Daphnia pulex: one gene and its partner. The protein of the gene in region 1 interacts with the protein of each later gene in a biochemical or structural test. Links are inferred from orthologs where the notes say so. Each region holds a gene or a part of one and is shown on either strand. Other genes may lie near its edges. The genes, in order: DNA repair protein XRCC1-like and uncharacterized protein F21D5.5-like.

Region 1 (16,143 bases):
TAGCGGAAAAGGCCTCTGAATAAATGTAATTTTTTAAATTGATTGCTTGACGCTAAAAGTTGCGTTTGTACTATATATCTGCCAATTTCAGCCCTGTATAATTTCATGTAGTCATCTCCTATTGGCCAGACCTCATATAATACCTTTTCAATCGCTAGTACTTTAGATTTTTTAAAAATGAGTTTGGTAGCTACGACAACTTTAGGCTACTCTACAGACTTTACCCTAGACACAGTTAATATTTTTCGCTGATAGATTTTTCATTTAAATTTCACTACCGTTATCGCAGCGTATCGCAGCATTATGTTTTCCACTTTAATTTTTTAAAATGGTGATACTATACTTCCATCATTTTTGAATTTATTACTGATTTTGTTTTCATCTGTCTATAGTTATGCGTACATTTAAAAACAGAACGTAGCTACGAAATTTCCATTATAAACCGTCAGTCTTTTTTCGAAGTATTTGTCGACAGTATAGAACCTGCGTGAAAGAGCTGGCATTGATTCAAAAATTCAAGATACGATATTTTTTCAAACGCGTTTAAAGTTTATTGAAGTCTAGAGGCAGTCTGAAAATATTTTAGTACCCAGTGACCTTGTTGCTCATGGCATAGGCGGGCTTAACAAATTGGTCAGAAGCACTGGGGCCTTGTTCAATAGGGGCAGCAGTGGTCAAATAAGAGCCAGCACTTTGAGCAGGAGCCTGTTGCTGCTGGGAGAAGGATTGCTGGGCAGCAGGAGCTGACTGTTGTTCAACTGCGGAGGATGAAGTGCTGGAAGGTTGCTGGTATTTTTCGATCATACCAGCGGCAGTAGACTCGGAGACGGCTGTGCAAGTGCAGAGGTGTTGAGAAATGGTAGGGAAGGCGCTGGCAGGGAAATTGATGTGAGTTGGAGCCGATGGAGCAGCAGGAGCAACAGGAGAACCGATGCTGGAAGCAGACGCATCTTCCGGGCCAGTTGTGTTGGGAACCAAGGGACTGCTTGCCGGTTGGTTCATCCAACTATTTGGCTTACCAGATCTACAAAATTAGACAACGAATGTAAGGATCAGTATACACGAATGCAAATATTTTTATTCAAATTTACAGCCAGCACAAATGAATTTGGATTTTGGATTTGTAGAACATAAAAATGACTTACTGGGTATATTGGCCTGAACATACCGCTGCCATAACAGAGCACACGACAATCATCTGTATACAGAATTTCATAATAACAATTAATGTGCACCCGTATAAAAAGAAAAATAATGCACGAAATAAATGTTGGCTTTAAAAATGTACTTACTACTTTAAAGGTATTCATTTTCTTTGTATGGATGTAAAAAGGAGAGTAGCGGAAATTGGACGTTGTTCCTGATTGAACGCTATTGGCAGCTTGATGCCAAAATGGAAACTACCTCGACCTTATATACTGTTGACGTAGGCTGGTTACCAAGCCAAGTTTCTTGATCCTGACGACCTTCAACTCAAATTTTGTTGTCGTGTTCCAGACACGTATAGGAGAAAGCCTGTGTGCGAATCGGAAAATAGGTCAAGTAAATCATATGAAAATATCAGATTATTGCTGCTTCTATCAAAACAGATTTCACGGGATTTAAAATTGTCAACAGAATTCAGATAAATAAGGAAGCCGTCAGCGGAAAAATTGAGCTAAATGATGCTTCTGTAATAGTATAAGTATTGGTCCTGTTGTGCATTTCCGTTTAATGCAATTCCAAATATACAATTTAAACTTAATTCCTCAGCCTTGAAATATTCTAGGTCTATAGGGTTTATACTTTCACTTTTTTAAACGTCTAGAAACAAGGTCAGACATGTGAAAAGAATTTCAATGTATACCTGAGAATCAAAAAAAAAGGTAGGTCAGGTCGCCCTAAAACTTTATACCTGGTTCCAAAGAAGAAAATATAATAAGAGTTTCGAAGGTGCCAGAAGGGCCACTGTGAGAGGAATCCCCAGCACATCCGGTTTAATGTCAAGTACCGCAATATAACTCGCATATTCTATCATTATGCTGTATATTGATAAAAAAATATTTTCTGTGACATTAAATGTATTGAATAACTCTATTATAATGAATTGTAATGAATAGGCCTACAACTTAAAAAAATATATTTGATTGAAATGATTGAAAATTGATTTCTTAACATAGAGTTCATGGAATCTTTTACATTAGGCCTATATGAACTATGAAGGAAACTTATTTTCACCTAATGGGGGGTAAACTATTTAGGTGAAGCGTGATTTCTAAAAATAAATTTCGCCCAACGTGGGGCTCGAACCCACGACCCTGAGATTAAGAGTCTCATGCTCTACCGACTGAGCTAGCCAGGCTTACCTCAGCCGGCATTACATTTTAATAATATGTAATGAGTGAATTTAGAGCGTCACGCACTTTCTTCTGATTGTCTAGTTGATGATTTAGTTAGGGTTTCACTGGTAAGATAGACCTAGAGGAGTAATTTTTCAACATTTGCTTATTTTCCCTGTTTATTTTATTGGTTATTAACGCTTCATAGGATGATGAACTATGTATTGGTAACTTTTTATGTTTCCCTCCTGTGATTAGACATCATATAGACCGTTACGAACATGTTATAGTTCGGTAGGCAACATTAATGTTGCCACAGATTTGTTCCATCAGGCATCAACGAAAAAAGTACGTGATTTCAAGACGAGGTATAACGTTTCATAACACTTTATTTCCAAAAATGCATATCATATTATCTTATTATGGTTCAAGTCTTCCATTCCATTTCCTTGGCAATTTTATTAATCAAGATGACCTGTAATGTAAAAGAGTACAGTATCATGTTTCATGGTTCATGGCGGGCGTTTTAAAGGATTGAAGTTCCTATATTTACCACAAGAGGGTGTACATGTTTAGTAAACAAAAGACAGGTGCCTGTCACGAAACCTCTGTGTTAAATGTTTAAAAAATAGTGTTCAATGCTGCTCATTCCTTTATGGGTTATTTTTTGACTTTGCGAACTAAAAGTTTCAGAGGTGACTAAGAGCAAGAATTTGCGCAGTATTTAACAATTTCGTTCGTGTTGTTTGAAGTTCTTTCGACTTACTGCTGTAAAAAGTACTATAGCCTACACCTGAATCACCTGAATCACTCAGTTTTGCATGATGAACATAAAAGAAATGCATTTTTTAATTAAAATATCCATTCTGTCCAATGTTTTGTTAACCACTGCTTTACAGATTGATACCACCCACATTTATTATGATGTCCAACCACAACAAATTCATTTATCTTTCTCAGGTATAGACATGATTATGAACATTTTGTGCTATGTGCCTATGTACAATTTTTTCAAATAATCACTGAAATTTGAATTAGATGAACCTGTTGATCTCATTGTTACATGGAACACCATCAACAGTACAAATGAAACAAGTGTTGTGGAATATGGAATTGTTGAGAATCGTTTAACAGAAACAGCCACAGGGAGTGCAACTGAGTTTATCAATGGAGGGCTGGCAAAGCGGAAACAATTTGTACACAGAGTGAAGCTCTCAGGGTTGTCGCCTAAACAAAAATACTGTAATCTTCGGATTTTCCATATCTCTTAGGTTAAGCAGTTTTCAAATGTTTTTCTTTCATTAGTTTATCGATGTGGGAGTCGTCTGGGGTGGTCCAATTTGTTCAGTTTCGTTACGGTGGAAAATTCAACCGACTGGTCCCCAAGACTTGCTGTGTACGGCGATATGGGCTCGGAAAATCCTCAGTCACTTTCGCGCCTGCAAAAAGAGTCGCAAGAAGGGCGCTACGATGCTATATTCCACGTTGGCGATTTCGGATACGATTTGTATGAAGAAGACGGACAACTCGGCGACCGATTTATGCGTCAAATCGAACCGATTGCCGCGTACGTTCCTTACATGACCTCGGTCGGAAATCACGAAGAGAAGTACAACTTCAGCCATTACAAAGCGCGATTCTCTATGCCGGGAAGCGAAAATGGATTAATGTACAGTTTTAACCTTGGACCAGCGCATATTATTTCCATCTCGACCGAATTTTACTATTTCATCAACTACGGTTTTAAGCAGATCGTTTTACAGTACGATTGGCTGATTCGCGATCTAGAAGAGGCCAACGCTCCTGAAAATCTTAGCGTCCGACCGTGGATAATAGTAATGGGCCATCGTCCAATGTATTGCTCAAATACAGATCAAGACGACTGTACAAAGAAAGATACTCTTACTCGGGTCGGGCTCCCTTTGTTTCACTGGTAATCGAATGCGTGCTATCATGTCAAATAATAATTCTAAATAATGTAGTGTTTTTATAGGTTCGCTTTGGAGCCGCTCCTCTACAAGTATGGAGTTGACCTGGCCTTGTGGGCTCACGAGCACTCGTACGAACGACTTTGGCCCATATTCAACCGTACGGTAATGAATGGAAGCTTGGAGCATCCCTATACTAACCCTAAAGCTCCAGTTCACGTGACAACTGGATCAGCGGTAGGAGAGATATGCTGGAAAATATTTAACTTTGCACACCGCATTTATCAAAAATATTAAAATTTCAGGGTTGTCGAGAAGAACGGGATGACTTTATTCCAGAATTACCCTATTGGTCGGCCTTTCGCAGCAACGACTACGGTTATTCCCGATTATTTCTCGCAAACAAAACTCATTTACATTTGGAACAAGTGTCCGATGATCAAAACGGTCTGGTGATTGACGATTTTTGGTTAATCAAAGATCTCGTATAGTTTAACTCCTCATTAGCATAAACGAAGACATCGTTCTGTTTTAAAATACCTTTATTATTCATTTCGTTTGTTGCACCAAGAATTCATCGAGAGCAACTAATTTGTTATTTTTTCTGCATGTCCGTATCCAATCACTTTTGACAATTTTCATGTCTTGGTTTTTCGACAGCGCCTTAAAAATAATGAATAATCCAAGACCCGACTTTAGTAATCTTTTATGAACAGAATAAATAAACTGCATTTACCTTGGCGACTGAATCATCGTCAGGATCGTCGGATATAAAGTGAGAAACCTTTGATTTAATTTTCGGCACTAATTTACTGTTTGAGAAAAATACGTTATTTGTCAAAAAGGAACATAAGAAATTTAATTAATGGTAGTACCCTTGACATTCTTTTATATAGAGCGTTAGGTCCTCTTTCACTTCTTCGGACAAATCTTTGCCCAGATAAAAGTTCAAATTAGCGTAAATGTTTGAATCTTCCAAAGTCTGCTGTTGTTCTTTAATTTTCTTCTTGATCCTATTTCAAACAATTATGTGCGTTAGCCATTATAAATTCGAAAAGAGTGTGTGAGATGAGCCTACATATCGATTTCATCTTCCGTGTCGACTTCGTCAACTTCAGTCGACCCGCCGTAGTCTTCTTCTTCTTCGTCCTTGACGACACTAGTTTTAGGACTCGCCACCACAGTGGTAGGCTTACAACTGGCTGCTACAGTTGGCGATTGGGGTACTACAGTTGCTGCTTTACTGGTTTGGGGTGTAGGGGTCGGACATGTCGGCCCCTGGTCCTCTCCTTCCCAAATTTCTTCTTCGCTTTCTTCTCCTCTGTCATTTTTATCTAAACAATAACTATTTAAAAAGACAAATTATTACAATCCAAGCGATAGAAAAATAAACCACATTGGTAATGATTTTTACCGTCTCCATGGTAATCTTTTTCGTTTGTCGAAACAATCTTGAACCCAATTTTTGGTAACTATTTTGCCTTTACCCTTAACTTCAATGAACTTTGGTGTGTTGTAAAAGGCACATCTATAATCAAATGAATAAAGAATAATAAGCGCATGACTCTACGTCAAAAATTTGTTTTGTAAAATATACATCAAATGCGTACAAGACGCGTTCCATTCCGGTTTATAGGTGGCACCTAAGGCCAGCAGTTTATCTCGCAGTTGACCCCGTAAAGGATTTTGAAAACCACTAAGGACCACCACGACGCCTTCCAATAGGCGATTAAAAGGTTTGGTCGTCCGTTGCTTTTTCGCTAAGCGCTGCGTCTATAGATCGGCATTCAAAAGATGTGATAGTACGACTCATAATTTGAAAGGTTGAATTATAAATGTTTATACGTCAACTGATGGAGAAGGTGGTGGTGTTTTCCTTTTAACTGGTCCTTCAACTCTCTTCGATTCATGAAGGGGGGAATGTCTTGGTTTGCTTTCTTGCATTTTTTTACTCAACGATTTTTTAGCTGGTGGAGTGATGGGCGGCGCAACTGGTCTCGGCCGATCAGATTCCACTTGCTTGCGACTAGGTAATGGCGAATGTTGATCGACTTTGGCAGCAGTAGGTGTTTTAGATACTGTGGGACTTCGAGTCTGCAACGTTTTAAGCTTATCTGTCAATTTGATATCTGGTCTGCTGCCGTCCTTGTTAGGGGAGTGTCTCAAAATGGTCAAGGCCTCTTTCTCACTCTGTGCTAGGGCAGCAGAGGCAAGACTTTGAGATGCAGCACGGATTGCACCAGGCTCTATTTAAATAAAAAAAATCATTATCATGGTATGAAAACAAATTAGACAGCAATAATTACGAGTGCTGGGCGAGGTGCTGATCGACGACTTGAACCGAGAGAACAAACTGCCTTGTTTGATGGGGTCAACAATTGATTCTTCGGACCTAAGTTTAAACATGCCAAGATCTATGCTGTTTGCTGCTTTCACGCTAGCACTAAGGTGATTAAGATTCATTTAATAGGATACATTATTGGTATGACATGTGGCAATATTTGTGGCTTACTTATTGTTGGTTTTATTAGCTGACTCTTCTTCTGGAGCATGAACTGTAAGGAAGGAAATTCCATACTGAAGCTGTTTGTTGAACGGTTGAGTGCAAACAACCCGAACGCGATCCCATTTTTCAGCTTGGGTGGCCTTGTTCAAATCTTGGTGTTTGAAAATCCGTACACGCTGGAGATTTGTTTCGTTTCGACACTCTTGAGGTGTCATAAAAGAGGCTGAATTCAAAAGAACCTAATACATGTGTACAACTTTTACATTAAATAATACAATTATTTTAAAGTGTAATGTCTACCTTGTAGTCTTCATCGGAACAACCACTTCTACCAACTAAAATTTCAATGAATGCAGAACCATGGTTTCCTATGTCAACAGCTGAAATGAAGGATGTTTTCTCTAACTGAAATTCAACCCACGCTTTCTGCTCTCCAGCAGATTTGCACCTCCATTTCCTGTACACTCCATCTTTAATGAGGTTTTCTGTTGGCTGATTCTGTAAAAAAAAAATCTTTATCATTTTCCATAGTGCACAGAGTTGTGCAAATTGTAAGAATCGTTGTGACTATTTTATCTTCTTCTAGTGAAAGTCTTCATCGTTGAAATTAAATAGATTTCTATACTGCCAGTCACAACTATGGAATACTAAGTTCACCAAAATAGCAGTAGAAGTGTCAAGAGTAATTTGTGAAAATCACCCTGGTTCGATAAACCAAACGTCAAAACAACTATCACTTGCGACTTTATACAATGAAAATCACAATTTTGTTAACATACCGGATCTTCGCTACTGAAACTCACAACACGAGTAAATTTTATGGGCGCCATAGACAAAACAACGACGCTGAACAAATGTTAAGAAAATCAAAACTGGAATACAAATTTCAACGACTTTTTAACTTGGCACGTGTATCGTCGGAAGTTGATTTGTCCAATGTTTGCAGCTGCACTATACGTTTTATTCTCTGGCGGCTTTGGGGCTAGAAGACGGCCTGAATAATTTGGAAGATTTCTTATTCTGAGTCGTCGCACCCTGAGCGATTCAGATTTTATTAGAATAATAATTTATTCCCCCATTTTAAAAGTTGTGATCATTCAATTTTCCCTACATTTTATTTTTATTATATATGGAAAGTCGGCTGCTCCTGGGTCCTGTTTAAAAAACCCGCCAACAGAGCGCGTTGGCTTGCAAACGGACATTGTAAAATGCATTCAGCGCGCGTATTCAATATGCATTGAACACAACACCAGATTCAGAATCCAAACAAAAATCGCTGGGTTTTTTTTCTACGCTGGTCTTTTTTAAAAAGGTTAACAGCGTCCTATAGTGGATAATGGCCTATTTTAGGTTATCCTTTTATTTATTATTACTGATGCCTGATGACAAGTCGAAAATAAACCGACAATAACTCATCGACATCAGCAGAGATCAATCTTTTACGACAACAGAAATGAATAAAAATAAGTCTGCAAATAAAATCTACACATTAAACGTTTAAGTCAATTTCAATTCCAACTGGAAATATATACGTTCTGGCGGTTCAATGTTTAAACTACCAAATTGATTAATGTCCACTAAATTTATTATTTTCTTTTCTCTTAACCATTCATGATGCTGGAGAGAAGGGGGAGGGATGTCATCGATTTTAGCTCATTTAATTTCTATTACGGCTTAGCTGGCGCATTAATTTATCAACGTGGTACTCCGACAACGAAGTTTATATTACAAGGACAACGTCAACAGCCAGAGTGCAAAGCATTTTGTGCAAGTGATATTTTTAATTTGTTTTTTTTTCTAATTCGACCGTTTCTCGCTCCTTGGATACCGAAAGAAAAGCCGAGGAGAAGAAAACCATATTACGTCTCGCCTTTATTAATAGGTGATTCCCCAGAAAAAACAAAAAAAATAAAACAGCCACAGCATCGCCCAGTATCAACTGGAACATTTTCCGGCGTTAGTAGTATTGACACCTCCACGCTCTTTTCCTCCCTTCTTTATATTGTATTTACAAGGCCCACGCAGCAGCAAGCAACCCAGCTCTTTCCAAGGATGAACATGGCTACATTATATATATAGTATAGGCTTTTAATTTCTCCTATATATGTCTTATTTCGCTATACAGCCAAAGAATCGAGGTTGCGCACAGAGAATATTAAGGAATGTATTTTTTAGATTTCCCTTCCGAAAAAACTTTTCTTTTAACTCTCCTCGATCCTGCTGACTACATGTATAAATACACAGGCTATATTATATAAACTGCACTCACTGCAGGCATATACACACACATTTCATGTACAATATATATGTATTAGGCTTCCGGCAGCTTTGTATACCTATGTACGAGCCACTTCAATTTCTTATAGTCTCTTTCTATTTCATTCTCCATTCTATTTTGTTTCCTCTTGTATTATTCCTAAGATTCCCCCCCCCCAAAATACAACAAAGACACAATCAGCAGCACCTACCGTCTATATAGGCTATATGCATGGTGTATAGTCTAAAACTTTGTTCATCGTTGCTTGGTGTCGATAAATATCCCGGCAATCTATCTAATATTCTATGTGGGGCTTCGTTGTCATACAAAGTAAAATGATGAAGAGATCTCTAGATATTATGCTCACGCGTCTATAATATATATCCCATCTCTCTTTTTCCAACCCATTGAGACTCTGTGTGTGTCTAGAGTTTTCCTTGTCCCAGCATGAATATAGACAGTATATATAGACCATGAATAGGGCGCTTTAATGAGCTTCTGCTACAAGCACTGTCAACTATACTTCTCTTACCAGAAATGCACCGCGCCTTTATGTCGGTGATAATATACAGTCTCAAAAGTATTGTTTTGGTACTATACGTTCAAAGTATCATCAGACGACACACTATACAAGATACTTGTTTATTATACGTCTGCAGGGGGGAAAATACGTCGAGGCTTTGCTCGAACGAAACTTATTGGTAGACGAATCTGAACTTTCCCAGCAGCACAGAGGCGCTTTCTTGCACTCAGCAAAGATCTATATAAGAAAGTGGCATGATATAACATGAACTTATACAAGCACCGTATGTATATATATGTAAATACGGCTATATAGCTATATAACTGAATGTTCGTATACTAGATTGGAAAAGTTTGGTTTTTTTTATTTAGGTTTGGCAAAAGTGCCATTTTATATACTTTCAAATCGCTCGAGGCCGCACAGCATGCATGTGCGCCGCGGTGCTCAACAAATCATTTCATTCCCTTTATATTATATTTCTATATAATTATATGTTCGTGGCATTTTATTTACGTCGTGCTATACATAATTATCTAATCTTCTTTACTATTAAAAAGAGACTGTCGTGTGTAGGCTATAATTAATTGTCCCATTTCACGCAACACATAGCAGGTTCATGTGTGGCTGTATAACACTCGTTTTAATATGCGCGTGGTGCGCAACACTTATAGCGAACGCGAATAAACTTTCGGGGTAAAACACAGGATGTAATGTTGTGTTAATATCAAATCGGTCCACGGCCCGTGATGTAACATTTTCTAGAATAAAGTTGTGCTGCGCTGATGGGCGCATCATATACATAATTCACGCAGCAAGATAGAAAAGTTAACGCTTTGGAGAATCCCTTACGGAAAAATCTCATCAAACTATATGAGAAATCATATGTTTATTAATGACATCAATGATTTTTTAATAATTTTTGATGATCTCATATATTTCTCATTAAATTGATGAGAATTTTCACCCTCATATTTATCATTAAAAGTGTTTAAAATATTTTTGTCTCATTTTATATGAGATATAACCCAGAAATCAGAAAGAAATCATATAAATTTCATGATTTTACCACAGACTTTTCGCATGAGAAATATGCAAGAAACTGGTGATAAATAACCATAAATATCATGATATTTTCTTAAAATAAATCAGTAATATATCATGTATTCTCAGTTTTTAATCATTAATTTCAATTGGTATTTTGTAATGAGATACTTGTATAAAATCATGTGGAAATCAATAAAATGTCATGATTTTCCCGCAGTTTTTTCGCATAAAAGATCTGCAAAAAATCAGTGATTATTAAGCAGGAATATCATGATATTTTCTTAAAATCAGTAAGTAATTTGTCATAAATTCTGAGTTTTTAATCATTAATTTCTATTGGTATTTTGTAATGAGATACTTGTATAAATTCATGTGAAAATCAATAAAATCTCATGATTTTTCCACAGTTTTTTCGCATGAAAAATCTGCAAAAAAACAGTGATTATTAAGCGGGAATATCATGATATATTCTTATAATAAATCAATATTTTATCATATTCTGAGTTATCAATCATTAATTTCTATTGATGTTTTGTGTTGAGATACTTGTATAAAATCATGTGAAAATCAATTTTACCTATGACATTATAAGATTTTTTTGGTTTTCTTTTATACAGTTTTTTGGCTTTTAAAAAAATCACGAAATTTATTATTAAATGTCTATCAGAAATCAAGTAGATTTAGGTGTGAGATCATGATATTTAATTATAATTATTTTGCATATTATCATTTATTAAGAGCTTTTTATCAATCATTTCTCTAATGCTTTATAGTGAGATTTTTCATTAAATCATGTGAAAATCAGTTCCCAGTAAGGAATCAAAAGATTTTTTTGGTATTATTTTTACCCAATTTTGGGCTTTAAAATCTTCAAATTCATAACAAAAAGACAGTAATAATCAGCTACAATTCAACAGATCAGATGTGAAATTATAACTATTTAATCGTCAATATTTTCTTATGTTTTGTAATGATGTGTGAAAAATCAAGGGAAAATTTCTACATATATGACATCAAAATATTTTCTTGTATTCTTTTAATACAATCCTTAAAATATCAGTTAAAATCAGCAAATAATTATATAGGCCTACCTGGAATGAAATATTCTGACTTTAAATTCTTTTTGAACTTTTACATTTTTTATTTTATACCTTTCGTAAATATATGGTAGCTATCTAATTCTCACAAAAATTACACGATGTTTTTATAATCACAAGATAGGCTGGGATAACTATTTTTTTTAACGCGCTAAGTAAATTTGAGTGAAAGTTCTATTTTACTCTGGTGTGTTTTTTTGTGTGTGAATTATTCTAAGTCCCGAAATCTGGCTTTTATCTAACTAAACTAACCAATTGATTATATGGTATGTCAAAACGCATCATAGAAATTTTTACTAAGTTTTTTCACGCGCTAAGTAAATTTGAGTGCAATTTCTATTTGACTCTAGTATGTGTTTTTTATGTAAATTATTCTAAGTCCCATAACCCTGTTGTTATATCACTAAACTAACCAATTTATTAATTTCTACGTTAAAAAGCTTCTATCATAATATCAATTGGTAGTGTAGTGGTTAGCAGATTGGCAAGCCACCCTGGAAGTCGAGGTTCGATTCCTGGTCAGGGCAATTCTTTTTTCAATTTATATAATTAAAATCTCATTTAAAAGCGCTCAAATTCTCATTCAAATTTTAGTGAGAAAATCATTAACATTTTTGTGGAAAAAGAGAAATTAAGCGAGATTACAGTAAACCCTCAGTCAGAAATCATTATGTTTACGCGACTAATCATTTATATTTAGATGAGAAATAACATAATTCTCCCTTTGTTCACATGAAATTAATGATTAACGGCTGATTTTAAACTTGAAAATGTCCCAAATTCTCATCAAAAGTCATCAAATAAATGATATTTTGCTGTTAATCTCACCAAAATATCACGACAAAATGAATGAGAATTAAGGTTATTCTCATGTATTTCTTTATGAGTTTTAATGAGATTTTTCCGTAAGGGATATAATAATATAAGGTCTTTTACACGCTGCTGCTGCTGCTGTATATATCTAGAGTATTTATCTGCTGTATATAGTGCTGTGGGTGGGGGCTTAAGTCCTTTGATGGGGTCGGTTATATCTACGTAGATGTGTGTAAGCCGGGCGAGAGAAAAAAAAACAAACAAAAACGGGCACAGCCACATTTCATTAGACACAAACCTCTCCCCCCTTGCATTCGCGTTTTGTTTCAGCCCTTTTTCCCAGCACTATTATATACGCTCTCGTCGGTACACCTCGTCCCTTTGCGTGGTACATAACACACGAGTACTATTACTATAGCGCTTACTACAGCAGCGTCAGCTCTATACAGCATATAATATAGATAGGCCGCGTGACAAACGCCGGCACTTGAGGCTTTTTTTTTTTACTCCAGACCACACCCACACACCTTTTGGATAGGATAGGACAACCCGCAGCAGCAGCGGTGTATGTAGCCCACCCACAACGTTCGACAATTGTTGCTTTGATTCATCGTTCATCATCATCGCGCCAGCAGCACACACAACACACCGGCAGCAGCCAATAATAGCTAATTGAAAAGACTCGGATGGCTGAATCAGATATAGATTTTCTATAGTCCGCCAGCAGCAGATTATATATACTCACGTAGTAGGCCTACATCAGTCGATTTTCTGTAATCATTTATACTATATAGGTATACTGAAATCGATGATCCGCCATTTGAAAAATGATAGTATTACATACATACATATTAGCGAATAACCGGCCTATTATATACGAGCTTCAAAAAGTATCAAATATTTTGATGATTGGGGGCTGATCCTTTAAATATACAAATGCATCTAACAGCCAGCAGCCCTATATATATTATTCGGGCTAAATAGCAGCGAACAACGTGATGCTTTAATATCGTTTATTGAAAGTTGCCCACAACCGAGTTGAATCCAGCATCATCCAGATGAATCCTGTTATATACATGGACTATATATACACAACGATATACAAGTCAAACACAAGACATATTAAGTATAACTCAGGTAACAGTGTTATATCGATGTAAAGAGCACTTATTTTATATATTTTTTTAAAAAATAAAATGATGATATGTACACAGAGCAGCACACCGTTGCATAGTTGTGTCGCTGATGGACTGATGTGAGCAGCGCTCCCTTGTGTACAATATGTCTCTCTCTCTTTCTCTAGTAGTTGTTATAGTCGCGCGATGATGCATCTCGAAAACATTCTGGCTATGTGCTGCTGTGTGCGCGATGGTGATGTGTGTTGCGCATGTGTGTCGTCCTTTTCCACAGCGCCAGCACAGCGCAGCCAAAAGGTATATGTGTATAACTATACTGTGCACGGTATCAAAGACTATAGACGCACTGCACTACGGAGCATCCGCCCAGCCCATCAGCCCAGCGCCCAGCAGTGCCCAAAGGAAACAGCGCAGCACGGACGCCCCCAGCAGCAGCAGAAAAAAACGGACTGGGTTGGCGATGGCACAAGATAAAGGACTCAGTGTCGGTCGTGTCCCAAGTGCAGTCGGTTTACACCGTCTCTGATTATATACCGCGCGCTATTTCTCTATTATATTCGTTCGTCATCAGCACAGAGTGTCGATATAGTCGTGTCAAAATTTATTTTTATTTTTTCATTTTAAAATTTATTTTTTGGTCGATTAGTTTTGATTATTTTTGCATTCGAAATTGAACCCAAATCGAATTTTCGGGTGAAAAAGGAAGAGAGAGTGTTCATTTTCAACCTGTGGGGAAAGAGAAAGAAAAGTGGTGTGCTGGAAATTCGGTTCGAAATATGGATGTGTGCTGCTGTGTGCGCTGTGTGTGATGTGTGCTGTGTGTGTGCGATGTATTAGGTTTGATAACCGACAATCTTTGCATAGAGTTTGAGCGCTGCTGGGGGCCACGCAGCAGGACAGGACAGGATCAATCGCTTCTATACATTTGATGCTGGCGCTCCCGAGAAATATAATATTAGATGATGCTGCTGAGATGAGTTCGATCGCTCGCCAGTTGCTGCTGGCTCCAGCTCCGTTTAACGGCGACGAGATCGCACGAGATTTCAGTCGACAACTCGTCGCATCAGCAGCAACAACAACCACCGATGACTTGAAAGACGCGCCGAGTGCTCCTGCAGCCGTTTAATAGGCGACCAATCAAAATTTCCGACAAATTTCATCACAAAAATCGTTTCAATTTAATTTTTTTGTTTTTTAGTTTTTTATTGGGCGGGGTTTTTTATTTTGATTTGATTCGTGGGCAATAATTGGATATAAATATTAAAAAAGTGATTTGATAATAAAAATGGAGGCGGTGTCGACGGTGATGGCGGCGGCGGCTGCGTTGACGGACAGCAGCACGGCGACGTCGGCCGTCGTGCCGGTGACGACGGCGTCCAGCATCATCACCAAGCGCTACTCGGCCAAATTGGCCAGGATTCAAGGCTACGTCGTGCGGGGCGTGACGGCGGCCAATAAACCGCCGCCGTCGTCGGCCGACGGCCAGCAGGCCTCCACCAGCATTAGCGGCTCTTTGGGATTCAATACCAAGCGGAGCGCTTTGCGGCTAGTACGGCCCACCGTCGCCGGACGCTCGGCCATGATGGGCCGCTCCAGCACGGGCTACTCGTCTCAAAAGACGGCCCAGGACACGTACTACAGCGGCAACAGCCTCATCAATTCATCAACGACGCTGGGCTCCGATTGGACGTTGGTTCACAGCCGGCCAGAGACGGACGGACGGCCGGCCAGCAATCGCAACAGCAGCTGGGTTGGCTCCATCACGGAGCTGATCAACAGCACAACCACCTGGCGAGATCCGTACCTGAACATTAGCACGGCCGGCTGCTCATTTTTGAACGGAACGGCGTCAGCAGTTGGCGGCCGGAATTGCCAGGGGGCCGACGACGGATTGATGTGGGACAACAACAATAACAACGGGACGGGCATCAACGGGACGTCCATCGACGACGACATGGAAGCCAAAAACTTTTGGGCTCTCCTGCTCTTCCTGTTCCCACTTTTGACCGTGTTCGGCAACGTTCTGGTCATCCTGAGCGTCTACCGCGAGAGAGCCCTCCAGACGGCAACCAACTACTTTATCATCAGTTTGGCCATCGCCGATTTGCTGGTCGCCACTCTGGTCATGCCGTTCGCCGTTTACGTCACGGTAAGCCTCAATAAACTTATCCATCCTATATATTTGTAATAATTTATCTATACCGCATCGAAACAAAATGGCCGATTGGCTGGCCCATTTATGTTGTCACTTTGTGTTCAGTCGAACGCACTTTTATTATAGCCATATACACAATTTCGAGTTTTATATAGATATATAATATTATTCGCTTATATTTATTGAATGTAATTGAACTTTCTATATAATATACCGGGCCGGCGATGTATATCGACATTTTACGACCTGCCCTAGTTATATCAATATCGATAACACGCGGCGAAAAGGTTATATGCGCTTCTTATATTCTGTATATAATTATGTACATATAGAGTCCCTTTTTTCTTTTCATATTTATTTAATGAT
Region 2 (16,221 bases), on another chromosome or scaffold:
TCCGCCGCTTTTCTCTTGTATAGGAAGAGGCTAATGGATTGCGATTGCGGAGGACCTCCTCCTCCTTCAACATCCCAGGAGCCTAGACGACGAAGAAGAAAAAAGAAAAGACTGGAGGGAGGGCAATAAAGAAAGGAAGCGTCGTGGTGCCGACATTTCCTTTTAACCGAGGCTAGGAGAGAACACGGACGGCGCTCGCTATATCGTCGGCTCTGGGGGTTTTTATACATGTAATTTGTCGCTGTATATCAAAGGCTTGTTTTCACCCGCGTTGGCAGCCGAGGAGCGACACGAAGAGGCCAGACGACAATGAAGCGCGCACCAAGGAGGAGTCAAAGAAGAAGAAGCAGAAGAATAAAAATGAGAAACCGCAATAACGCGTGAAGGAATAACAAATTTAGAGTCAAGAGAAAGATGGAATCAAACCACGCCAGGCCGCCAGGCCACCACCACCACGACTCCTACGTATACGCGTAGACGTATGTTACAAGAAGAAAACATACTACCGACCAGAGGAGGAACGCCTTATGGATCCTTGTAACGAACACGCCCCCCATTCAAAATTACGAATCGGAGCCCGACTGATTTATCATGTGACATTTGGTGGAAGGGGGGGGGGATGAAAAACTCGAGCGAGAAATAACACACACACGCACATTATACATAGACATACTGTGGGCGAGATATTATTCCGGCACGACGGTCATAGATAACGAATTCGAATCAATCCAACCGAAGGCGAGCGCGCGGTTTTGATTAGCGTCAGCCGGCAGGAAATTATGATTATTATTTCTCCTTTCGCTTGTTGTTGTTGTTGCTTTTTTGTTTATTTATTTTTTCTTCTGTCTGTTCGAACATGTTTGATGTATATAATGTAGACGCACAACCGCAAACTCATCTCTCTCTCTCTCGGCTGTTTCTCTTTTTATTCTTCTTCTTCTGTTGTTTTTTTTCGCTCACGCATCACGCGCAGTCGTTCATAAAGCACACGAAAGCCGCAAATCTCTCACGCTGCCTCGCGCGCTCAAACCAAGTCGACATTTTACCGACGACGACGTCGGGGTGGCACTTTTTTTTTCTTCTCTTTCGTGAACATCAAATTCGGCCGATTTTTTGGGGAGGTTTTTCTTTTGTTTTTTGTTTTTTTCAATCATATATCTGTCGTCCTCGGAGTACAACTTTCTACTGGCGAGAGAATAAGAATCCGGCGAGCGACTTTGACGGATATTTATCGACACCCTCCTCCCACTCACCTTCTGCGTCATTTCGTGTTTTCCCTTCATAATCAACCAACAAGTTTTATATATCTGAAGAGAGGAATAAAAATAGTATATAGGGAAATGAGAAAATACATTTCAAGTCCGAAAAAGAAAAAGAAAGAAAAAAAAGGCAAAACTTGAAAATAGAATAGGTTGATTAACATTTGATCCTCACACAAGTCTTGTTACGTTTTATGGCAGCAATTTTCTTCCATTTAATAACGCTTGATGGAAGGCGTTTATTTACGGGCTCGTCGGCCTTGGTGCCCGGCGACAGCCAGCAGAGAGAGAGAGAGAGAAACAAGTAAAAAACGAATGAGAAAGATGGAAGTTATATAACACAAAAAGGAGCTATAGACGGCGAGAGAGAGAGAGAAATTCGTGCATGTTGTATATATCTAGCGCTAGCGTAGATATGTAGTATTGAATTCAATCTTCGTGGCGATAATAATTCACCTGCGCTGTACACATCCTTCGGTGTCTACAAAGTTTGGCCTTAATTTAACCAACCGCGGCCGTTCTTCTTCTCCGAAAAGGCGATGTATAGCACAGCACTCGCCTATCCCTCCTCCCCCTTTTGGCCTTTCTCTCTCTTACACACAGGACGTAGACAGCCAGAAAATGCAAAGACAGGCGCATTATCCTCTTCTCTGCTTCTATAATTAACCGGCATTCATCATTTGGAGTTGTTCGGGAGAGAGAAAAAAAAAAATAAAAAGCTATCATAGACGCACGGCACACGGCAGAAGAACCCCCCTCCTCACGGATGGCGGCCTGCCCCCTCCCGAAAAATTTGTGTACAGGCCCTCTCGTCCGCTTTTCTTTCTTAAAAAAACACATTTCAAACTGGCGCCTTTTTTTTCTTACCTTTTATTAGTTCAAAAAAGAGAACACATCCCGACTTCATTTCGACCGAGAGAAAAAGAAAAATCCCGGACCCGACACATCCCTCCTCGCTGGCCGCCCCCCTTTTAATTCTTTCTCCTTCGCCCAACTGTTCCACACACACAGCCTCATATTAGATATACGACTGTTGAGCTAGCTAGCTGCCAGAGGCCTTTTCTTAATCATCATCATCACCTGGTCCGTCCGCTCTCTGCTGTGTGTAGACACACACACATATACTACCCGGCCCTTGTATTTATACATATTACCTTTCGGTTTTCCACAATCATCTTGAGCACGGCGCTGCTGCCTCTCCGCTTTGGCCCAGGATCGCTAATCAGACCAATGGAGAGACAGCGGTCGTCACGCTGTGAATTATTGTACGGATCCACCTCTCTGTCTGTTCTGTTCTGTTCTGTTCTGCGCTGTAGGGAGACTTTGTCTAGCGCACAATTTCCAACCGCTAATCAGGTTTTCTTCCTTTTTATTTGTCTTCATCTCTCGCTGCTGGCCTGGCCCGCGTTCGGCTTCTCAATGTGTTAAAGGGGGGACTACCGTAAAAGGCGAAAAGGAATCAAAAAGAAGTTTGTTTTTTTTTCTTTCAAAACAGCGCCACGTCATCACGCGACTAGACGCAATCGACCACGAGAAATAACGACGAGCTGTTGGGACGGTCGGGAAGAAAAACGACAAAGACAAAGCAACTGGACGGTGTTGGAATATAATAACGCCACCACCTCCCTTATTCATATTTGGAATGAGCCCACCGCTTTATCAGTTGTGCGGATGTGTTCTATCTAATGATGCGCTCAATTGTCCATCAAACCAACTTGACAAATCTTTTGCGCCGTAAATGTGGATTGATTTCTTTCTCTTTGTCGTCGTTTGTTGTTGTTGCGGTCGAGCTGGAAATCACCGAATGCTGACAGTTTATTCGCACCTTTTCTTCGACTCGCACCGCAGCCATCAACCGGTCAGTCGCTTCTCCTTTTTGTTTAGTTTGGGCTGCTTCTTTGCTGCTGCTGCTGCTGTTGTTTCGCTTCTGTTGATGATGAGCTGCTGCTTCTGCTCCCGCTGTTGCCCGAAAAGTAAAAAAAAAGCTTCTCCTCCAAAGAGTCGTAAATAAATCAAGGAGCATTCAAAGTACGGCCTGCGCGCTTCATTTATAACTGTTTTTTCCCTTGTTCTTTTTATGTTCTTTTTCTTTCTTCCCTCCTTGTTTTTTTTCTTTTTTTATTATTATTCTCCGATGTATTTATATATTATTTATTGTTTTCCTCTTTTATTTTCTAGGAGGATTTCTTATTTCTTTTTTTTTTCCTATATGCATATAGATATGCGCGTGATGGTACGTATGTATATAGTATAGGCTATTTGCTATTTGAAAAGAAATAATCATCCAAGTCAAGAAATTGCGGTTGGACGAATAAATGCCGGGGCTTTTAGCCTCTGGGATGATTGTCGGGACAGGCCAAAAAAAGAGTCTTCCATCCTCTCTCCTTATTCTCGCCCGAATTTGCATTTCGACGTATTTCATCTATAAATATCTATACGTACACACAAGACACACACACACGTCTTTTTACGACTGCCGGATAGAAACGCGGAGGCTCCTCATTGAACTCGCCACAGAAAACTTCTTCTCTCAAAACAAATTTCTCTTTCCTTGTGTCTATCGGCTGGAAATATCTGGCGCGATGACGCCCGACGAAAATTTCACTTGATGTATTTTGATGGAAAGACGAAATGAAGGGAGACTGCTGGCCAGAGAGAAATAAAGAAAAAAAAAGAGAATTAGGGATATCCAATAATAAACAAAAATGGAAAAAAAGAGATAGAGCTAAGAATTGGTTGGGGCATATATAAATGCCATACAGGCAGCAGCCGAGCATTGACTATTAGAAATAAAGGCAGCTAGGAGCCAGCAGGAGCGGCTGTGAATGGTGGTGGTGGTGGTATATACACCAGTGGTGTTGGTGGGGCGCTATCAGAACGATAAACGCCCGATAAATCGACGGAATAGCAGCTGATGCTTTCGAGGATCATTGGGCATCGCACGGGGCCACATGACATCTACCGGCTCCCATCCATAAGTCATTGGATTTTTAATCAACTTGGTCGGGCCGGAGTTGGAGCTGGAGAGTGAGAGAGGGGAGAAAAACAAAAATATCATCATAATAAAGAATATTCGGGAGAAGAAACTGAGGGGGGAAAGATGAAGAGATGGGGGATGAAGAAGAAGGAAGAAAGGAGAGTTCACCACTGGAGAGAGAAAACTGTTGTGTGTGTTTCTCAATCTCATTCTGTATGGTGTATATACGACTCAGCCTCTCCGCCGTTGGTTCGTTAGCCAAACGACGACCAAATGAGCAGGGCCAAACTCAATTAACACCTTCCGTGTCAGACCGCTATGACTGTGTCTGTGTCTGCGTGAGCCGCCCTATCTAATATGAGATTCGTCCCAACAGTTCGATGGGTCTGTCTCAGAGTGTCTAATGGACGTGCATCTCGCACAGAGAGAGTGTAGTACATGCTGGCGGCGGCGGCGGTGGCGGCGGCGGCGGAGAGCTTTCCATCTCCAAACTTTATAGAGCTGATTCTCAAATGCTCGATGCAGCATATCCTCTACACTTCTTTTCTGTCTCGTCCAATTAAGAACAACATCTCCAACAATATGCGCCATCGTCTCTAAATCTTCTTCATCGCCATCTTCTACAAATGTTTTTTTGTTTTGTTTTTTAATTCATCAAATTCTTTTTTTCGTTTTTTGTTAGCTTTTTGTTCTTCTCTGATGCCATTTGGTTTGTTTTTTTTTACAACCCGAACGACGATGGATACAGGGCAGGGTTTATATTTTGAGTCGAATTATTTTCGTTTTTTCATTTTTATTTCCCGACGTTTAATCGAGACAGGAGGAAAAGAATGGCAGGAGGAAAGTTGGAACATTTTTTGTGTTCGGATGAGAGCGATATTGGGCGCAGGTGTTTTGCCTATTTTTGTTTTATTGGTCGATAGTTTAGTGGGGCGCGGTCAATTCATCAACGTGCCTCAAGGTGCGGGAAACCTTCTCCCCCCCCCCTCTCCTTCCACCTCCATCAATATTATGAAAACGCAACGGCTATAAAAATGGAGGCAGAGATGATGTGACGTGCACGTTCGCTGCTGCTGCTGCTGCCCTGCCAGCGGTCGATGTCGGCCGTCTCACCATTATACAGCCCGCCGAGAAAACGGGAAAAAAAAGAGAGAGAAAGAAGAAGAGGAGAGAAACAGTCGTAAAGCAGTCTTCCAACGGCTCGTCCGACCAGGCCCATCACATTCATAATAATGTGGCACACACAGCATTTATATATATAGAAAAAAGGAAATGAAGGGAAAGAAAAAGAAGTAGAAAAAAGATAAGAGCGCCAACCAGCCAAAGACTCGTGCATGTGTCTGTGTTGCGTGTAGTATGTTGGGAGAAGAGTATAGTAGGGGGATCTTTTCGGGGCTGTGTGGGTCGAGAAGGGGGGGGACTGACTCAAAGAGCTGATGTTCCCATTATGTTTTGAGTTATTGCTGGATTGCCCGATACGAAAATTTGTTCGATACCAACACCCACCGCCACCGCCAAGTCTGCGGTCGGATGAGTAACATTCTCCACCCGACTGCTGCATGGTTTTGGCCTAGGGCTCGTCGCATTCGATCGTTTCATCGCCATCAATCCATACATACATTTGGGTTCTCCTGTTCTCTCTTTTTTTATTTTGCGATACAAAAAACCCAAAAAATAGAATATGCGCGCTTGTATTAACGACTCTTTTCTTTTTTCTCACTGTTTTATTTGGTTTCTTGTGATACTTGTGGTTAGGAAATTATTTACATTACAATGATCGCGGGAAATTTTTACGTTCACTCCCGTCAATTTAGGTTTCGAAAACGGTCGGGTCGCGCGCCGGCTTTTTCTTGAAAATCGACTACCCAACGCCATCTGTCAGTCGGAAAGGAACTACTTAACTGCCACCTGACGGATATAATATCAATTTCTTCAATGGTTAGCACATTTTCGTCTTTTCTTCCAATTTTAAAACGTCAACTAATTTCCATTTTGTTCATTCATTATCGGTTTTCATTAAAAGATTTCCTACAAGTGCTAATGTTTTCTTGTAAAATAGTGTCATGCGATCCGGATTACGTATCCATCCAGATTGAGCACTGTAAGCCTTTGGTGATTGGAAGAGGGCCCTTGACAAGGATTAAAGATCCGAGACTTTCTCGAAATCACGGTACTATTGCAATCCAAAACAAGTTCAAAACAAGATGCATTTCATTCAATTTTCAATTCACAGTCAAGCTGGTAGCAGACTGTGAAAAGGGGTTGCTGAGTGTTAAGCTGATTGGAGCCAATGCTTGCAAAGCTGGAACCTCAATACTAAAAGCTAAAGATGAATCTGTTCAGCTTAAACATGGAGAAATTATAGAGTTACTTGAAAAGCAATTTCCATTTCGTGTGGAATTTAGTCCAGATCCAAATCAAGTCCCGTCATCAGTAACAAGCTCATCAAGTTCTGAAGAAATAATGGTGGGGAAGCAGACAACTCTTAATAATTTTATAACAACAAAGAGGAAATCAACATCTGCTGAAGAAGATGTCCAAGACCCCAGTTTCTTGGCAAAAAAGCAGAAAATGGAAGATACATGGGAGGAGATTGACAATGGCAAACTGATTATATTCACAAGTGATGGAGTGCAGCACAAATCAAAAGTATTCAAATATATTTTAAGTCTTTCGAACTGTTTAATTATTTCTTTTTATTCATTTAGATTGCAGCCTTTGATTTGGATGGAACCATCATCACAACTCAATCTGGGAAAGTATTTCCAACAAATTGCCAAGACTGGAAGCTAAATTTCAGTCAGGTTCCTGGCAAACTTAAAAAATTAATAGAAGATGGATTTAAAATTGTTTTCATCACTAACCAAGCCGGATTAAGTAACGGAAAGCTCAAACCGTTAGATTTTCGAAAGAAACTCTGTGATATCCGTTCAAAGTTGGGAGTTCCAATCCAAGTTTTTATCTCATCCGGTTCGGGAAAATACAGGAAACCCTCTACCGGAATGTGGATATACCTTACAGATAAAGTGAAAACATATTTACTATCAGATGTATCTTAATATTTGGATCTGTAATATTTTCTGTTATTTGTAGGCAAACGGTTCCGTCCCAATTGAGCTGGAATCGTCTTTTTATTGCGGTGATGCAGCTGGGCGCGAGGCCAAATGGGCGCCAGGGAAGAAAAAGGATCATTCGTCTGTCGACCGTCTTTTAGCCATCAACGTCGGTTTGAAATTTTACACGCCCGAAGAATTTTTCTTGGGACACCGATCGGTTCCGCATAAACAACCAGATTTTGAACCCCGTAATGTGGACGCATCAGTTCCTCTTTTGGAACCTTCGGACGCCCCCCTGTTCCAGAAAAAGCAAGAAGTAAGGTATTCAATATAGAGTCAATAATGAAACAAATTCCCGTTGAAAAACATCATTTTTAAGAAATCACCTTTAATTTAGGGTGAGGGAAAGTTAATTACAAATCTCAACATAAACCTTGCCATTAACTTTCTTGAATCTCGAAGTGTAAGAATTTCGTCAATATTTACTGTTTGACATTAGGGACTAAATGATTTCGCCGACTATTTAAAAGTTCTAGCTAAGAAATTGATTAATCTTGTGTGTCATCTTGACGTTCGTGCTACACTGCTACACGTGCATATTTGTAAGTTTTCTTTGGCAGCGATTTGGGACGCGCAATTTATTTTTCCATTTACTATTTTTGCGTCACCTCTTAAGTATTCGATGAATGTGTTCTCGGGAACCGAACCGGGAGGTTCTAGTTCTTCATATTATTTTTATTGGTTTACTATTTTTTTCATTATCTTTTTTTTTTTTTTCTCAAGGATTTCTTTCTATTCAATTCTATTGAGTCTGAAATTGGTAAAGAGATGCAACGAAAGTCAATCATTTTTGGTTATAAGTGTAACTGATTCTTTAGTCCCGTTTTTCCCACGTTATCTTCACATGTTAGCAAAAAAGTTATTCGCAGTTGGACTGATTCTTATTTTTCGTTAGGTCATTCTACTGGTTGGGTTTCCGGGATCTGGCAAAAGTCATTTCGCAGAACAACACGCGCTTCAGTCAAGTTATGATGTTATCAACCGTGACTCCTTAGGCACTTGGCAGAAATGTGCAGCAGCCGTAGAAAAATGTCTCGACGCCGGTAAGAGTGTATTGATCGATAATACCAACCCGGATAAGGAATCACGTTCCCGTTTCGTTCGACTGGCTTCAACTAGAGGGCTACCTTGCCGCTGTTTTGTGATGAACACCACCATGACGCATGCCTTACATAACAACAAGGTAATTGAAAAATTTTGAATCAATCTTCTTCTTTCTCAGCCTTTCATTGATAACGTTAGTGTGCATGTACACAAATTGAGATCCTTATAGATAGCTTTATTGACTTTGCCTGTTCAAATTGCGACGTAAAATGCAAAGTCTTGAGAAATCTTAAAATCATCAGGAACTGTTTGCCATCTAAAACCTTGACTTAGTTAAATTTATCAATGAAAATCCTCTTACGTGACATTCGACACGCCCGATATTCAAAGAATTTTTTTCTCGCAGTTTCGAGAACTAACTGATGCGAAGCACGTCCCTGTTTCTCGAATGATCTTCAACGTACACAAGTAATTTTTAAAAATCTAAATATTCCAAACTGAGATAGCTCTATTGTTTGCTTTGACTCCGTTCAAGATCAAAGTACCAGGAACCAAGTTTAGACGAAGGATTCAGTCAAATTGTCCGTGTCAACTTCCAACCCAAGTTCCGTTCTGCCGAAGATGAGCGTCTTTACAAAATGTATCTTCTTGAAGATTAAGGATGTTTCTAGTAAATGGATTTTCATTAATGTCGGTATTACTATATATATATATATTTTCATTTCTCTGGAATTTTAATATCCTATAGTGCATGCCTAATCAATTCATGCAAAAAATGACTCGGCGTTTTGCTGCTCTCATTTCAGAGCAAAGAATTTGTTTAGTATAGGCCATTGAGAACTCTCCAAGTACGGTGTCAAATTGATTTTTTTAAGGATAACGCGAACGTGACGAACTCGCGCACAGTATTTCTGACGGCATGTAGATTTGTTCTGTCACTCGTAACTCAAAAGAATGTGCTCACGTGAACACCGCATGTTAAAAATGTTTTCAAGGTCAGTCGAAAACCGCTCGGAATTTATAAATTCAAAGGGATAAAATTGTTCAAGTGTCCTAAAAAGATTGTCCTTCCAGCGCGGATATGTCCGTCGATGTGAGTAATGATGTGCTAATATTACCGAATGTTTTGGCAATATTTTTACATTTTGCTGATACCACATGACTCGACGCTTTTATTCTGGTCGTCTGGCCATTAACATGTCCTAATCGTATGACGTACTTGGAGGCGGGTAATGTTTAGACGAGCCCTAACGATCGAGCCCAGGACAACGAGGGCTAGAAGGCCGGCGCCACTACAACCAGCCAATCACGCATCAGTCCGCGTCACCTGTCCTCCAGCCCGTCGCAACGTTTCCCATTGGGTTATTTTTTATTTACAACAAAATTTGGCCCTGCATCCACTTCATTGTGAGGCTAAGCGTTGTTTACTAAAAATATCCCCTAGTCCTTCATTTTTCAATACTGTGAACCCCAGTCAACACAAGCTCGCAACTTATCCAAGATTGCAATATTTATTTCCTGAAACGGCGCCAGGTGATCGGCCGCCACGACAGCAGAGCGGATGCGCCATCCTCAGACGCATTTAGGTTGAACTGTACTCAGCAGATGTCTCTAGCCAGAAAGCGGTAAAGGCAGACGCTATTTACGGCGCATGACAGTTCATTCTTCCCCGTTTTTTTGAGGTGCCACGAGCTCTCAGAATTAACTAAAGATCCCTTTTAAGGGAGTTTTGGCAGGCTATCGGATCCATGAAAGAATGTAGGCGGCAGAGTCGCCAAGGGCAATACAGCACACGAGCTACAACCACAGTCTACGTTACTACATTCGGTCGTAAACGTATACACTTCATACTCTTTTTTTCTTTTTTGAAAAGAAAGACTTATCTCGTTAAGGGAGGAGCCTGACGGTCCCGCCTTCACGATCCCCCTGTCTCCACATGTTCTCCCCTCTCGTACGAGTCTCCACCGGCTTCTAACACAGACACACTTGCCCGGTTTTTGGTGTGTTGCTGTTGCACTGTTTCCACTTTAAAACTGTAAAGACATTCGAAAGTTTCAACCAGTGATCCTTCTCTACTCGTGAAAGCAATACATCACAATCAAAATACTCGTGGATAAACCTCGAAAACAAAGGTAAGATAAGACTTTGGTTTACCCTTCCATTTCCTTTCTTCTAAGATGTGCATTTGCGATAGCATTATGTCTGTGGAAGACTTATGCAATGAAATGTATCGATTTTGCTCGACGACTGATGTTGATTCGATCTGCCCCGTTTTGCGGGAAAACTTATTTGAAATTAAATGCAGTCACGTTTACTTAAATAGGAGTCGGCAGGTTACTCTGCAGGTTACTCTTTCAACCTTCTCTTATTTCTAGAATATTCATTTCACACGGGCAATTATTTGTACATGGTTGAATGGGTTCATTTTCGAATCAGCTTCCGAAAATTGTTCTTTAAGCAAATATTGCAATGCCATGTTTTTAGTTTTTCTAATTTATTTTTTAAGTTTCCAGTTATTATTGTATTTTCATTTGATCCTAAGGGAAAACCTCTTTTAATTAATTGGGCAAATATCTGAGTTGAATTTCAATCAGTTAGTCTTCGATTTCCATGCATTTCAAGGAGAAAATTCAAAACTTTTATTTCAACATTCCCTTAATTCTATCCATATGTGACATTGTGTCTAAAAACCTTTTCCTGATTGCAACCGCCCTTTTACCGAGAGGTATCTGCGGGTAATTCCCTCCCTCGAGCGAAAGCTTCACTTGAAGGTCTTGTGTTAATCAAAGTGATGACCATCATATTTTCTGCACAGTTGCGGTGCGAATTAAGCCTTCGCTTTGCTCGACTAATGACGCTAATTCTTATCCTCCCATAATTGCTATCGATGGTTTATTAGAAAACACAATGCATTCTAACGATTTGTTCACCTAGCAACAGGACCATGCGCACCAAATCCATTCGCTGCCCATTAACGGGTTCAAGACGATCGCGCCAAGCAGTTGCGGATACTCGATCTGTCGATATCGAAACGTCAGTCAAGACCATAACCAAAGACGTTGTCGTCGTCGGTAATTTATTTCCAAACGTTTACTGATGTTCTAGCACAATGTGAATTCGTTGAATAAAAGCTGAGATAACCCTTTTCTAGGTAACGGACCTTCAGCTATTACTCTGTCTTATCTCTTGTCCGGCCATTGGCCCTATTATAAGGGCATGGACGAGATGGGGCATCCACCAGACTTTCTTCACTACAGATTGGAATCGAAACCCAACTGCCCGTTGGTTCTTCAAGATCTGAAAGAATTATCAGAAGTAAGAGATGAAGATTATTATTATTATTATTTTGTTTTTGGTTATGTAGTTCTCTGGTAACATTTCTATTTGGAACGCTAGGGACTGGAAGGGCGGTCGAGCAATCCGGTTGCTCTTTTATACGACATTCTGAATCACCCAGATGCAGACACAGGTCAAGATCTACCATCACTTCTTGCATGGAAGAACCATCCCGAGCATGCTCTCGATCACGTGGTTCTTGGCAGAGGTCCCCCGGGGGGATCGTGGCAGGTGCGTTTATCAATTTATCTCACTCCTTCCCTTTCTTAGATTGTAAAATAGCTTAGCAACACGTACGTTTAGATTTGAACCTTCAATTTTTTTCTCAATCTGAAAAATATTTCATCCATCTTGGACTTTAATGGTGCGTAGTTACCGTACGCCGATACGACAATAATCAAAATTATTATTATGTAATGGGCCTTGTTTGTTGTTTACACTTAAAAAATTGTTTACATGGAAACACATATGAGCGTTGGAGGAAATGCAATACTGTTTCGACCTTAGCCTTGATTCTGGTACAAGGACAAACCCTATAATTACTGTAGAAACTCATTTCTCTCGATTTCCTCTCGACTCTAGAAAAGAGAAACTATGGTATTGCCACAGGCATTATTGCATCAAGGCCGATCTTTTTTTAAAAAAACGTGTATGGCCGTTTTTTCATTGTATTTTTCCCCTATTTTTTTGTATAGGCAATGGAGGGAGACGTTTTGACTATCAGCAGAGGAACGTGGATGGAACTGGCTAACTTGAGCTTTCGAGAATGGGAAGAAAGTGTTTGCGATCGGCAACTTGGGAGTCGTCAGAAACGAGCCTCGGTTAAGAACGTGGCTCGATATTATCACGATTACGTTGATATCAAAGGATTGCGCCCCTACTTCCGCGACTCAGCGGAAGTCACTTCGGTTCGTCGTGTAGATCAATTAAAAAATGGCTCAAACGAGAACAATGATCGTGGACTTTGGCAAGTGACGGGTCACATCCGGACAGCTGAAGGACTGGAAGATTTTCAATATTTGACTCCAAACGTGGTATGTTCTGTTATAATCTACTTTATAATTATAAGTACGAGAGTGAAAATATCTGGCTATTGAATTAGCCAATTTCACTATTAGTTTTAGGAATGTTGATAATGATTTTCTATTTGAAATAATAGGTCTTAGCCATTGGTGGTTCTGATCGCCCTAATCGTATGAACGTGGCCGGTGAAAATCTGCCCTTTGTCGTCAAATCCTTACAAGCGATGGAACAACTTATTTCCAGTCAGCAATTGAACAGTCGGAGTGAACCGGTTCTCATTGTTGGGGCTGGCTTGTCTGCAGCGGATGCTATAATTGCCGCACACTTTCATGGAATTCCCATCATTCACGCGTTTCGACGCAAGGCTACCGATCCTAGCCTTATCTTTGGCCAGCTTCCTTCCAACATGTACCCTGAGTACCACAAGGTAATTTTTCTCAATTTCTGATTGAGTTGACATCATTTCATTTTTGATTTGTTTAATTATCAGGTCTATCAGATGATGAAAGACAACGGAATGACTTACTCAGGATACACTCCGATGGAGCAGAGCCAAGTGGTGCGTATTCAAAATGATGGAAAAGTCTGTCTGCAAGGACCAGAGTGCTCCACTCGAATCAAAGTTTCTTACGTCGTGGTATTAATAGGCTCTCGACCTAGTTTAAGTTTCCTTGAAAATAAAGGACGTGATTTAACGGTCGACGTGACCAAACCTATCTCATGTCGTAATAACCCGCTTGATGTCGATCTATTCACGCTCGAATCCACCAAGCAACCTGGGTTGTACGCTATGGGGCCCTTGGTCTCAGATAATTTTGTCCGTTTCGCCCAAGGAGGCGCCTTAGCTATCACGAGAGATATTCATTTGAAATCCTGTCCATTGGAGAGGAAAGAAGAAGTGTCAAATCCGCCCATCCTTCATGTCCCTCAAGAATCCGTCAACTACCTTGATTGCCCGGCGTGACGTTGATCGCCATTTAGTTTTACCGGGGGTATTAAAAGCGTTCCTAATATTGAACTTTTGCGAATCAAAGGCGCTTTTAGTCCCCTCATTTGTATCAGCGGTTATTGATACAATCTATTGTAAATATCACGAAACACGGTTTTCATCTTTGAGAAATAAGTCCGAATCACCACCCTATTACACCTCCACTTCAACGAGTGCTCTGCTAGTCTTCGTTGTGCCTTCTCCTCTCTCTAAACTTCGTTTTCTACTACTCTCATTTTTTAAGAAGCTTTCGTTGAGAAATTTGAATATCTATTGTTGATTTTCTTTATGAATTTACTGCTGATAAGTAGAGCTTATGTCTTAAATGGCATCGTTACGGTGCTATACGTTACGCGTGTCCTTACTGAAAACATTTCCAAAAGGAATTTGATTGTTTCCAGGACTATAGCTTTAGGGGTGCGAAACAAGAGCGGTTTTAACGTTCTGTAATTTGTTTTTGCATGTCAATACTAAGGACGACCAATGTGTTTTTGGCCCTAGTTGGTGACGAGAGGGGTAGCTAATATTGCGACTGTAATTGAAAATGTACACTTCATATTAAAGTTACAACACCTTAGAAAATTCAAGTGTTTTGAACTTGTAAAACATATACTATGCAGCATTTAAACACGTACATTTCCAGCAGTTCAATACACACATGGAAAACTTGAACAGAAATTAGATTTTCTATTTACTCAAGATTTAACAGCAATTAAAATAATGATTAGAAGGATGATGGTGGAAACCAAACCGACAATGCATACCATCTTCCGATTTTTCTTTTGATAATTATCAGCTTTTTGCAGATGAACCAAACCGTCGTGAACTTTAGCTTGTGTATGCTCAATATTGTAGTCTATTCTATCCAAAACGGTACCTTGATCCGCGACCATGTGAGAGATTTCCTGCAGATTTAAGAAAATGAACAAAAATAAGTTACACCATAATGAAATAATGTTGCAATGCTTCAAAGTGTCAAAGAAATTACTTTAAATATCGAATTCAGTTCGTATATCGAACGGACCACATTTTGAATTTCCTTCTCGCGCTGTTCAACGAAAGACGAATTTTCTTCCTGCAACATCAATTGCTGCTGGCTCATCACTCGCGGAGTTTCGGTTTGGCTGCTAGTATTGGTCCAGTCATCATAATTCCAATCCTTGGAGGAAGTTCCACCAAAAAATTGTTGAGAACGTTCCTCGCGTGATTTAATTTCTGTTGGGCAGTGGGCAAATAAGTATATACATGAATTTACATTTTTGTTACGAATTGGTTAATTGATTTTTAAACTATTATCTAGGTGCAACAAAATACAAATCAGAGATTTGAAACTACATTCTTGTGTGATAAAGAAATGAAGATGACTGATGAGTAATGATTACTTATCACTTAGAATAAGTAATATTGACATGATAAAAGTGCTGTGACTGGCTTTGACTGTGACTGGAATGTGCTATACTTTGTAAAAGAAATAAATGAATAAGAACTGAACTGTTCAGATATGCATTCTGGTCACTCCTGAAGGTGTTTGATAGATTTTGTAATGTTGTTACCAAAGATGTGACCACATTTTTGGCAAGATTTGCTTCTGCCTGCCCCAGACTAGGACTAGTACTATTGTACTGAATCCTTTTTATGCAATTGTGGCAGGTGGTAAACATCTTCAGAATAAACAAAGAAGGATTGAAGTTTTAAACAATTTAATTAATTCTAATCTGTAATACTTTGGTTATGTCTTGAGTAAAGGCATCAATCTGCTGCTCTTCATTCATCGAGTCATCAAATGTGGGCTTAAGAAGATGTTTGTTTTGAAGAGAGCTCAACTCTTTTAGTCGAGTTTGAATTTTTGTCAAGGTGTACTGAGCCTCTTCTAAGCTGTCTGTCCATTCTGGAGGAATCCTTACATGAGTGGCATGACTCTTGCCGTGAACATCTATTTCATGACGGACCAAGGAATCCGTGTCTGATATGCTCTAAAAGCAAACCATTACCAATTACCAGTAATTTCAAAAGTCAAAATGAGTCACTCACTTGTTCAGAGTAAAAATTGCGACTTTGAATAGCATTGTTACGCATCAGAATGAAAATTTCAGTGATACTTCGTGTTGCCATTTTCTATGTGAACTTTCAGTCGATATTGGGGTTGAATCATCGATATTAAGATGTACGTGATCTAAATTTTCACAAGAAAAATCTAAATCGTACACATCACAATTGAAAACATTGATTTGGATAATAGATATTGCACTGAAACTTTATTTTTTAAATGCCAGATTTTGATTTTGACAATTTTAAATCGATGGACTCGATCCTTGTACAGCTGATTTTGACATTTCGTGGCACATTTAGTATGAAGAAAAGTTTTGGTGTCATCAGCAGCCACTAGATGGAAGTAAAAGAGCGCGTGTTTTTTTTTTTTTTTTTTTAGTTTCAAACAATTCATTAATATTCACCATAGTATTAACTATTAAGCCATTC

The links.
Region 2: the proteins of DNA repair protein XRCC1-like (region 1) and uncharacterized protein F21D5.5-like form a complex in vitro, tested with the Homo sapiens proteins (3 studies listed by BioGRID and IntAct, with this or other methods). The link is inferred for Daphnia pulex from reciprocal best matches to the Homo sapiens genes XRCC1 and PNKP.

Annotation. Positions count from the first base shown.
Region 1 is NC_060028.1:2,107,939-2,124,081, reverse strand, and holds DNA repair protein XRCC1-like, read right to left. Parts: upstream 7,703-16,143; 5' UTR 7,583-7,702; coding exon 7,532-7,582; intron 7,251-7,531; coding exon 7,053-7,250; intron 6,992-7,052; coding exon 6,759-6,991; intron 6,690-6,758; coding exon 6,553-6,689; intron 6,493-6,552; coding exon 6,092-6,492; intron 6,020-6,091; coding exon 5,844-6,019; intron 5,775-5,843; coding exon 5,661-5,774; intron 5,592-5,660; coding exon 5,325-5,591; intron 5,260-5,324; coding exon 5,122-5,259; intron 5,059-5,121; coding exon 4,983-5,058; exon of another isoform or gene 4,910-4,982; coding exon 4,796-4,909; 3' UTR 4,771-4,795; downstream 1-4,770. Other genes in the region: uncharacterized protein LOC124209391, read right to left, coding at 583-1,024, 1,146-1,198, 1,293-1,310; acid phosphatase type 7-like, read left to right, coding at 3,140-3,278, 3,357-3,560, 3,624-4,251, 4,312-4,483, 4,552-4,737; dopamine D2-like receptor, read left to right, coding at 14,908-15,771. UniProt on the Homo sapiens protein: Scaffold protein involved in DNA single-strand break repair by mediating the assembly of DNA break repair protein complexes. Negatively regulates ADP-ribosyltransferase activity of PARP1 during base-excision repair in order to prevent excessive PARP1 activity.
Region 2 is NC_060020.1:4,605,321-4,621,541, reverse strand, and holds uncharacterized protein F21D5.5-like, read left to right. Parts: upstream 1-6,160; 5' UTR 6,161-6,171; coding exon 6,172-6,406; intron 6,407-6,469; coding exon 6,470-6,885; intron 6,886-6,944; coding exon 6,945-7,262; intron 7,263-7,329; coding exon 7,330-7,608; intron 7,609-8,247; coding exon 8,248-8,535; intron 8,536-8,802; coding exon 8,803-8,864; intron 8,865-8,931; coding exon 8,932-9,055; 3' UTR 9,056-9,085; downstream 9,086-16,221. Other genes in the region: oxidative stress-induced growth inhibitor 1-like, read left to right, coding at 11,341-11,467, 11,548-11,711, 11,793-11,963, 12,428-12,766, 12,892-13,182, 13,246-13,719; syntaxin-16-like, read right to left, coding at 14,439-14,648, 14,732-14,958, 15,236-15,404, 15,468-15,716, 15,775-15,855. UniProt on the Homo sapiens protein: Plays a key role in the repair of DNA damage, functioning as part of both the non-homologous end-joining (NHEJ) and base excision repair (BER) pathways.